Linked DNA regions of Xenopus tropicalis. The protein of the gene in region 2 interacts with the protein of the main gene of each other region in a pairwise test. Links are inferred from orthologs where the notes say so. Each region holds a gene or a part of one and is shown on either strand. Other genes may lie near its edges. The genes, in order: usp20, trim23 and hoxb5.

Region 1 (3,758 bases), on a different chromosome or scaffold from region 2:
ATCGCATAAGTCAGTGTAGGAACTGGTCAAAAGGGATGACTTTGACCCAGTTGGCCAGCTTGAAGTATATTGCAATATATGGACAAACAATCCCTGTTTTGCTTAAAGGGAAGGGCATTTCTTAGTAGCTTAAATGCACTGAATGTCTTAATGTCCTATATATTGATAATGGGTGAGTGCAGAGGATCTCTTGTTGTTGTTTCTATATATATATATATGTATATGTATATGTATATGTATATGTATATATATATATATATGTATATGTATATGTATATGTATATGTATATATATATATATATATATATATATCTTTATTTATAAAGCGCTACTTATGTACGCAGTGCTGTACAGTAGAATACATTAATACAAACAGGGTATTAATAAGAGAATAATATATAATAAAATATATATATATATATATATATATATTTTTTATTTTTTTTTTTTTTTACTACAATAAAGGCTACTTTTTTAAATGATTCCCGGTGTGCACCAATATTCACTAGATTTTTTATTTTTAATGCTTAATTGGTAGCACATGGGTCTTTTGACCACGCTTAGGAGTGCTGAATCTACATATGGTGTGTGTGTGTGTGTGTGTGTGCGCGCATTCCTCGGCCCACATGTGCTTGTTAAGTAAACACATTCTTGTACCCTGTATTGACTTACCAGACCACGCAGGGCCCCCCAGAGGGCATTACCCACCCTCCCCTCACAAACCAACACCCTGCCCCTCCCTTCCAGTGTCGGACTGGCCTACCAGGAAACTCCTGGTGGGCACAGGTGTCAGTGAGCCCTCCTGCTCCTACCATTTGGCCTACTTCACGGTCATACCCTATTGCTGAATGAAAACAAAGAAGAGAAATAGATGGAAGAATAGATATTGGCATGTAAATAAAAGAGACTAGCAGAGGTTGGTTGAGAAAAAAATAATTTGGAGAGTGAGCCGAGGGTCTAATGTTTTCTGGTGGGCCCCTGGGTCCCAGCCCGACACTGCTCACTTCCCCTATCTCTGCCCACTAACGCTCAGGTAGAACAGTGATGGGGAAGGGGGTTAGTTAGTTACACCTATAGAAAAAGCAGACCCCCAAGTCTGCCCTCCCAACAATGTGTTTATGGCTAATTGGTATCCATAGTAACGCGTTCTTGGAATAAAAAAAAGGCCTGAGGTAACGTTTCACACGAATACAACTTCGAGTATCCTCACTGTTGAGTCGCAGAAATATAACGAGAACCTACCTAACCTCCTGAGTTACTTCTTCAGCCTCCGCTTCTTCATCTGACGACGAGGCTTTACGCCTCCGAAAGTTTCTTCCCCCAGGCATCTTTCTCCCCGCTGCTGAACCCGGACACTACGGAATATGTAAACTTCCGGCGCGGTCTAATGATGTAATAATGCCAGTGAGAAGCTTCCGGATCTCCGCCCTTGCCTTGGCAGTGTGGGGCGGAGTTAGGAATCAGCAGTCAACAGCTGCGGTAACAGAGGTATCTGGCATCAGGCTGGCATGGCATAGGGAGGTAGGTTTGCTCCTGCACCCCGTATCCATGTACAAGCTCCATAACTACTAGAGGATTAATGTCTGTACAGGCAGGGGTTTAGCTTAGTGTAGCGGCAGGGGCCTGGGGGCAGTGCATCATATTAACCTTGCGTGTGTGTGTGTATGTATATACACACACACACACACACACACACACCTTCTCTGGCACCCCCAGGTATTATTTCTTCTCATGGTGTGCAGCTTACTAGCAACTTGTATCTCTCTCTCAATATAAATATATATATATAGGTAAAGAATGTCGGCACTCTTAGGATTTCCACAATAAGGCAAAAAAGTAAAGTTTTTTTTCAAATGCAAGCGGTGAGATTTATTGTTTCCAACGTTTCAGTCCTTTACTAGGACTTTCGTCAGGGAGTGCAATGTCTTTGCCTTCCTGCACTCCCTGACGAAAGTCCTAGTAAAGGACTGAAACGTTGGAAACAATAAATCTCACCGCTTGCATTTGAAAAAAAACTTTACTTTTTTGCCTTATTGTGGAAATCCTAAGAGTGCCGACATTCTTTACCTATCTACAGATTTTATAGCTCTGGCACCTAGGTTTACTCTCATTTTATGGTGTGCCTCCCACTCTGGACTGTATATATATATATATATATATATATATATATATACCTTTTTAAAGGTCCCAAAAGGGACCGAAACGTCAGTTGTACATGCAATTATAATACTATAATATTTGTTTGAACCACAAGACCCTTGGTGCTGGTTGTGTTTGATTTGGTATATATATATATATATATATATATATATATATATATATATATATATATATATATATATATATATATATATATATATATATATATATATATATGGGCAGACTGGTGTATATACACAGAGAAGCGCTGGGCACAGAGAAGGGGACAGACTGGTGTATATACACAGAGAAGCGCTGGGCACAGAGAAGGGGGCAGACTGGTGTATATACACAGAGAAGGGGACAGACTGGTGTATATACACAGAGAGGTGCTGGGCACAGAGAAAGGGCAGACTGGTGTATATACACAGAGAGGCGCTGGGCACAGCGTAGGGGGCAGACTGGTGTATATACACAGAGAGGTGCTAGGCACAGAGAAGGGGGCAGACTGCTGTATATACACAGTGAGGTGCTGGGCACAGAGAAGAAATTAGGCACTAGCTTGGATTTATGTAGAGAGAAGAGGGAAGCAGCTTGATATACTCCCAGGGGCACAGGCTGTTATACACTCAGAGAAGGAAACGCTAGAGACAGACTGAGAGTGTCACAAATTAAAATATAGACAAAATTGTGATGGGAATGGCCTGGTATTTACACTGAGAGGAGGTGGGCACAACCTGGTGTATGCACAGAGGATGGTACATGCCGATAAATACACAAGAGAGGGGCACAGAGAAGAGAGGCAGACTGGTGTATATACACAGAGAGGAGGTAGGCACAAGGTTACACATAGAGAGGAGAGGGGAGCAGGTTTATATATTCTCAGGGGCACAGGCTGGTATATACACAGAGAAGGAAACGGTAGAGACAAAGACAGTGGCACAAGCTGGAATATACACAAAAACAGTGATGGGCATGGCCTGGTATATACATAGGATTTGGGCAGATTCTGGTGTATGCACAGAGAAGGGGACAAGCTGGTATTTACAGAGAAGGGCACTGGATAGTATATAATAAAGCAGAAAGGCTGGTATTTGTACTAGGTAGGCAGTTGGTAGTATATATAGAACATATGATAGTGATTGTTGTATATCCTGCACAAGTGGGCCACAGGTGTGTATATAATATATATATTGTATAAAAAGAATGGTGTCAGCTGACATACAGGCTCAAATGTAGATAATGCCGGATCAGCGGAACCATATATGGATGAAGCTGAAGGGAAAGTGACTCATGCTGTGTATAAATTGCTGACTATTTTTTGCAATTAAATTGAGATTTCTGTGAGCAGCTGGCATTGTGCTTGGTATCTACGGGTAACCAGTTGCTGATGTATGCCATCCTCTGATATAATGGCATCATGATTGCGGCCTTGTACCGCGAATGGCTGAGGCTCTCACAAGTGGTCATGTGACCCTATTATCCTCATTCAGGTCTAACTGCTGTGCTTACAGTCTGCTGCCCAGGCCTCTCCTCTCCCTCCCAAGCCAACCAAACTGCGGCCTTTTCATCACATAAAGCAGGGGTCCTCAACCTTTTTTACCCATGAGCCACATTCA
Region 2 (3,758 bases):
ATTATTTTCATACTGTATTGCTTATATTCCAAGCCACTAAATTGATCAGAAAAATCTTCTTAAAGCACTTATGGGAAAAAATGTTTTGCTTTACATCTATCAATGTCTGATTATTAGAGAACTCCTATCTAGATTCTATGGGGAAAATCTCTTTCCTCTCGTCTCTACCACTTAATCCTGAATGTAACTGTATTTTGTATTATATTTCATTGTACTGACCTGCCTGTTCCATTAATGTTAGTTAATTTGGCATTGTGTGTGCCATTAATTTGTTTTGCTGCACAGCTCTGCTTGCACAAGGTTCACTTTACAATGCTGTTTGTTGCACCCCTTACACGTATATGCATAAATTGGCCCCCGTGTAATGTTTTAAAGCCCCAAAAGACCTAAATAATTACTACCTGATACCAGGGCTATTTATTACATCTACTGTAACTTTTGAATGACGCTGCTCTCAAAAAATAGTAGAACCCTTATATTTGTCAGCTGGATGAGCTCATCCTTGCTATTAACTTACTTTTAATTAGAACAAATGTTCCTTAATGATATATTCTTAATAAAAACCTGGTTTAGTTGAGATTACAGTTTATCTTTCCCATCACTGTTGGTACAGGTTGGTATGTCTATCATTTATCATGTCTATTAGTCAGCACAGAGTTTTTCTGTATTTCCAGCATTATTGTATTTTAGTTCCCCTGCTTGAGGATAATCATACAAAAATGTATTGTAACCGTTGTGGAGCCCACCAATGAGATCATGCCCAATTGGTTAATTCCATGCACTTTCTTTGTGTCCTATGGGCCCCCAACCTGCTCCAAACGCAAGCATAAGCAGGAGGGGGCCACTCAGCTATGGCAGACAATCTGAGTAACTGCTGCTTTGCAGAATAATCATTTGCACTAACTGCGCTGCCATGGGGTTACTGTAGCATCAATGGTTAAGAAGATCACTCAATGTGGCTACCATAATGGCAAGGGATGGAAGTAACTAGAAATGACAGGGCAAGGCAGGGCAGCCTCTTGCTTAGGTGCATAGTCTATGTACTCTGGAACAGAAGTGAGTGGGCCAGGACACCTATGGGAATGGCCAGTGCAGGAAAGCTCTGGCTCCTGTGCTACAGCTTGGGGCAGGCCGGGCTGACTCCCCAGTCAGGGCGCAGAGAACACACACCACAGCCTCACACTGATACCTTTCAGGGCCAACAAATGTTCCTGCTTGGGCTGATTGACGTCCATGGTGCCAGAACCGCCGTCACCACCCCTACACACACCCGGAACTGCCTGTACGGGAAGACGAAAGGGCCAGTTCTAGTAAAACAAAATGCGCATGCGCAGAGGCTTTTTCCGCTTCTCAGTTCTATTATTCACATTGCAACAGAGCCCTGCAAAACTTTTATTTCGACAAAAGCTGCAGAACCACAGAATCGCCGTCTCTGCTATCTATCATTTTGTTTTTGTTTCAGGGGAAAAATATGAGGGCACGTTTGCCAATGTTTAAGATGGCGCCTTATAGCGTTAGCTCCCATTTTTCTGAGGCAAGAGACTGAGTTGGGTTATAGCTATTGGGTGAAACCACTTTGCGGTTTCGCTAGTAATAGTTTTAAAAGCCTTTTGCTCAGTCGGTGGTGTCATACGGATTAGACTTCTCAGATTGCTACTGTTATGAACCTAAGTAGATATATTCATTGTTTTTTAAAACAGGGTTTATTCTTAAATAATGCCATTTTCAACACCAGGATTCACATGATTTCTCAACCCTCTACCCGAAGTGGTACGGTCCAGCTGTCAACATGGCTGTCGCTGTAAACAGACACGGCGGCCCTGGAAGAATGGAGGGCAGCGGACGGCAGAGCCGGACCGGTCCGGGGGGAGCAGTAAAGGTGATACTAGAGCAGGGTTACGGGAGAAGTGTATGCCGTGTAGTTTGGGCCCTGGTTTATCCCTGCAGGAGGGCCCCCCTGCGTCTGGCTATATGCATTCTCCTTCCTACATCATTTCGTTGCAGAGTGCAGGGAGGCTTTAGGGGAAAGGGCAGTTTCGGAGATGGGATACTCCTAGGGGGAAACAAAGCAGAAAGGGCCTATTATATTGTGCTAGAGAGGAAGCTGCGGGGCCCAGACACTGAGTGATAAGCAATTCCAGTATATACTTATGTACAATAACTCTTAAACTTTAGGGGGGGGGGGGGTAATATGAATTTGCTGCGGGGCCCAGACACTGAGTGATAAGCAATTCCAGTATATACTTATGTACAATAACTCTTAAACTTTAGGGGGGGGGGGGGTAATATGAATTTGCTGCGGGGCCCAGACACTGAGTGATAAGCAATTCCAGTATATACTTATGTACAATAACTCTTAAACTTTAGGGGGGGGGGGGGTAATATGAATTTGCTGCGGGGCCCAGACACTGAGTGATAAGCAATTCCAGTATATACTTATGTACAATAACTCTTAAACTTTAGGGGGGGGTAATATGAATTTGCTGTGGGGCCCAGACACTGAGTGATAAGCAATTCCAGTATATACTTATGTACAATAACTCTTAAACTTTAGGGGGGGGGGGGGGGGGTAATATGAATTTGCTGTGGGGCCCAGACACCTCTAGTTATGCCACTGACATTAGCTATGGGCAGCCTTAGAGCTCTTTGTTCTTGTTGTACTGCACCTCCATACATTGGCTAGTAGGGCTATTGAGAGTTCTAGCAGAACAACAACTGGAGGGCTGCAGGTTAAACATCCCTAATATATTATATATACATATATTAATCCCCTTCATCAGACTCCAGGCTTTCTGCATTGCAAGCTACCCACCCCCCTTTAACTCCAGCCCTGGCTGTATGGATAAGTGTAAATGTCCTATACAGGGTTGTCTTTCAACTTTCCTATGCGTTTTAACTCCCAATGAACTACAACTCCCAGCATGCAAAGTCAGCTAGATGTAGGAAGCATATGGATAATACCCAATGGCAGCTATTGATATTCCATACCCACATCTGCAAAGGCAATAAGCCTATTGTATGTATTTATAACTTTATTTTTATATTGCTGCAAGGATACATAGCACTGTATCATTTTAAGAGAAAATGCTGCTTTAATTTATCTTAAACCTTATTAGCACCACCCAGCCTTTCCACTTCCACAGGCAGCTTTCCTGGGCTGTTCAGGAGGAGCAGTGGTCCCCAGCCTGATCTTTAGCAAGCAAATGATACATCCAGCAACATGGTTGCATCCTCGTAACTTTCAGACTGATATATTTAAATGTCTCTCCACAATGTAACCTTTCCACAATTGTTTAATCAACACTAGGTTCTGGAATGTGGTGTCTGTGAAGATGTCTTTTCACTGCAAGGAGATAAAGTTCCACGTTTGCTGCTTTGCGGCCATACTGTGTGCCATGACTGTCTAACACGCCTGCCTCTTCATGGCAGAGCCATACGCTGTCCATTTGACAGACAAGCTACTGAACTAGGTATTAAAGAATTCATTTTTTACTTTACTAAGCAATAGTATTATGTAATGTATTTAAGGTCTCTATAACACAAGGATTTTGATAGCTGTTACCTGCTGCAGATTGCTTCCCATTTGCTTCAAGTTGCTCTGCACTAGCTGCTCTCTCTTGCAACAAATAGATACTGGGTGACCCACTGCTCTCAAACAGGCCCAGACTGGGATTTATAATAGGCAGCTGCCCCTCTGGCATTTGCCAGAATCCACAGATTGCCAGTCTGGGTGTGCTTTAGAAACTCTGGGAACAGCC
Region 3 (3,393 bases), on a different chromosome or scaffold from region 2:
GCTTTTATCGAGATATACACCCATATACATATATATATACATATATAGATAAATAAAGTCAGAAATGGAAATGCAAGAGTTTCCAGAAATCCCTGATCGTAATGGACACTGGCAATTTCATTCGATTCAATTAGTTTTTACCGGACAGATTTATTTTAGCTCAGTCCTTTGACATATTCTTTTGTTTTATATTACAACGTGCCTTCATAGCTACAAATCCTAGTCTTTTTGAACTCGCCCTAAAATATATTAGAATGAAAGAAATACAAGGCAGGGTTTAAAACAGACCGGAGTTCTTTTATTTTGCCCATAGCAATATTTTATTTTATGACGATTTAAGGGGACGCTAAAATAACGGTAACATGGAGCAGGCAGAGAACAACTATGGGTAAAGGAATAAATCGCTTACATGGTTTTGCTTTTACTTATTATTTGGGTGTTCTTTTAATACAAAAGCGACAATGTATAAATACACAGACAGTTTGAGTTCGGGGCTAAAGAGAAGCTAAAGAATATTTTCCTGGGTGTGTGATTTAGAGCTGCAGTTCCCCGAATTTCCGGTAGGTGTCGCGGTCTGCCAACATGGAGAGAACAGTTTTCCCCAGGATCATTTTTTTTTTTTGGAAGCTGTACATTGACTTGGGCCTAACGATTCTCAGATCGTCATTATTTGTAACCATAGAGCATGGATTACCTCTTGAGGTCATCAGTGAGAATTTACGACTGGTCAACAAAAGCACGTGATTTCCAAACGCACCCACACCCCCATATTTGGCCGCATACATAGCAAAAAGCAAGTACAGTGTATGGGGATAATTCATTAATACATCATAAATCGTGAGGCTCAGGGTGATCCACAAATCAAAGCCTCCCCCCCAAAAAAAAATCACCCAAATGAGTTCCTACTTTGTGAACTCGTTCTCAGGGCGCTATCCTAATGGCCCCGACTACCATGTGTTAAATTATGGGACTGGCAGCAGCAGCAATCTGAGCGGATCATACAGGGAGGCAGCAGGCAGCATGCAGCCCTCGGCTTATGGATATAACTACAATGGGATGGACCTGAGTGTGAGCCGGGCAGCAGCTTCCAGCAGCCACTATGGGGACAGCGCCTTCCCCGGGCAGGAGAGCAGGTTCAGGGCAAATCAGAGCTGCCCCCTGGCGACCCCCGACCCCCTGCCCTGTGCCAAAAGCCACAAAGACGAACTCTCCCCCACGGATCCTGCCACCTCCGCCGGCTCCAGCGCCCAATTCACAGAGGTAGAAGAAACCAGCGCCTCCTCGGAGACTGAGGAATCCAGCACCCCCCGGAGCAGCGCTCCCCCCCGGGCACTACAGGAGAACAGCTCCCCCGGAGCGGCCGGGACAGACGGACAGAACCCGCAGATCTTTCCCTGGATGAGAAAACTGCACATCAACCACGGTACCGCTGCTTTATTCCCCCCTTTCCCACTAAAGGTGCAGGGGGCTGAGAAAAACAAAGCTTTCCATAATACACCTTTACCCCCCCAAACACGATGCCAGGATTATTGGGTTGAACTCAGCCTAGTGATCAGACAGGCGAAATATAATATATATAATATACATTGTGGTACCAATGTTATGCCTACAGCTCTAGCTGCCTGATTTGTATAATATTATATATTAAATGTAAACCTTGGGAAAGTGATACGATATGAGATATTTTATTATCTGCTGATATTAAGTTTATGGGGCCTTTTATGTAGAACAGATAACAGGACAGTAAAATAGAATGTAACAGACAGGGTGTAATAGAGCAGCAGGGATGGGGTACAATGTATAGGGAGTCAGTAAAATAGAGTATATTATTCGGTGGATAAATGTTTTATATCAGTAACTGAATATAATGAGATAGAATTCGTTTTCATTAAGGGACATCATTAAGGAAGATATTGTCTTTCTAAAGAGGGGCTTGTGAGGGGCAAGGAGCAGGCAGGGGTGCTATGATCTCTATAATAACCCCCCCCCCAAAACCTTATTGTCCCCCCCATACAGACATGACAGGTCCGGATGGGAAGCGGGCCAGGACTGCCTACACCCGGTACCAGACGCTGGAGCTGGAGAAAGAGTTCCATTTCAATCGGTACCTGACCCGGAGGAGGAGGATCGAGATCGCCCATGCCTTGTGCCTGTCCGAGCGGCAGATTAAAATCTGGTTCCAGAACAGGAGGATGAAATGGAAAAAGGACAACAAGCTAAAAAGCATGAGCCTTGCGACAGGCAGCAGCGCTTTCCAGCCCTGAGGGCACCGTTGGCCGGGACTCTCTGCCTTGGGCACCTACAGGGCACTTGTCGGCATGTAAAGGGCACAGGACTGCACCCAGTCTCCCATTTCTAGTCGTCTCCCAATGCTCCCAGTAACGTCCTGATTGTTTTGTGACTGTGACACGATGCTGCTTCCGGAGGGAGATCGCATGTTTTCAGAGCTCTTAAATGTTATTATAACTTATTTATAATAAAAAATAAAAGAATTTCAGTTTTTTTTTTATGTTTACTGTTTTTACAATTTTTCGTTGTTGTTGTTTTGCTGTTTCAGGCCAGTTAGGCGGATCGATGCACTAAAAGGCTCGTCTTTTCTATTGTAAAGTCTGTGGTATTGGTCATCATTAGCCCCCCCAGTTTAATAGTAGCCCCCCTGCAAGGTGGCTGATGTCCCCACTAGACTGTAACTCGGTGTTTTGCTTTTTTTATTTTATTTTATTTTTTTCAAGTGACCAATCTAAAGGAGTGAGTGACTTTGTAATGTGTTTAAAGGTACCTGTCCTGTCTGGCTGCCTGAAGATTCCATTCTCCATTTTTGTATGAGTAGTAATAATAAAATATTAAGCTATAAAACACACGACTTGGTGCCCTTGTATTCGATTGCATGTTTGGGAAATGATTATTTGTAGCAGTGCGACAGTTGCAAAGAGAAGGTATCAAATCATGCTTTGTAGTCTGAACTGGGGGGGGGGGGGGGTCTCACAATCACAACAACATTAATTACAATTAGGGCAAACGAATTAGAGAGAAAGTTTAGTGGGAAACTTACCCCAGAGCAGAGTGAAGCCAAGGCATCCCCGTCCCCTTTGGTGATTTGGGCAAAGTAAAGCCCAAGTAGGTATGACATTTCCATGTCAAATGGATTGGGTTTTATGTAGAAGTTCCATGGTACAAATGGCCCAGACCTCAGGCTCAGACCCCCTCACTGGCTCGCAAAAGTCACGTGTGCTCCATAAAGTTAGTTTTATGGTTTTAGGGAGTTGACAATGTACAATATATTTCACAATCTCCAGAATGTTAAGTGACAGTTTAACTGGCTTGTGAGGGGACCGGCAGTGAGAGAGAGAGCAGTTTAGCAGATGCGACTGGGGCAGCAGGCAGTGCACAATC

Evidence for each region.
Region 1: the proteins of trim23 (region 2) and usp20 interact in binary tests that used the Homo sapiens proteins (3 or more experiments, as listed by UniProt). The link is inferred for Xenopus tropicalis from reciprocal best matches to the Homo sapiens genes TRIM23 and USP20.
Region 3: the proteins of trim23 (region 2) and hoxb5 interact in binary tests that used the Homo sapiens proteins (3 or more experiments, as listed by UniProt). The two-hybrid records come from large-scale screens. The link is inferred for Xenopus tropicalis from reciprocal best matches to the Homo sapiens genes TRIM23 and HOXB5.

What each region holds. Positions count from the first base shown.
Region 1 is NC_030684.2:22,435,600-22,439,357, forward strand, and holds the start of usp20 (ubiquitin carboxyl-terminal hydrolase 20), read left to right. Parts: upstream 1-1,382; 5' UTR 1,383-1,398; coding exon 1,399-1,521; intron 1,522-3,758. Other genes in the region: uncharacterized protein C9orf78 homolog, read right to left, coding at 1,243-1,328.
Region 2 is NC_030677.2:187,786,996-187,790,753, forward strand, and holds the start of trim23 (E3 ubiquitin-protein ligase TRIM23), read left to right. Parts: upstream 1-1,323; 5' UTR 1,324-1,789; coding exon 1,790-1,879; intron 1,880-3,307; coding exon 3,308-3,470; intron 3,471-3,758. Other genes in the region: trappc13 (trafficking protein particle complex subunit 13), read right to left, coding at 1,190-1,235.
Region 3 is NC_030686.2:12,061,395-12,064,787, reverse strand, and holds hoxb5 (homeobox protein Hox-B5), read left to right. Parts: upstream 1-849; 5' UTR 850-894; coding exon 895-1,423; intron 1,424-2,016; coding exon 2,017-2,264; 3' UTR 2,265-2,856; downstream 2,857-3,393. UniProt on the Homo sapiens protein: Sequence-specific transcription factor which is part of a developmental regulatory system that provides cells with specific positional identities on the anterior-posterior axis.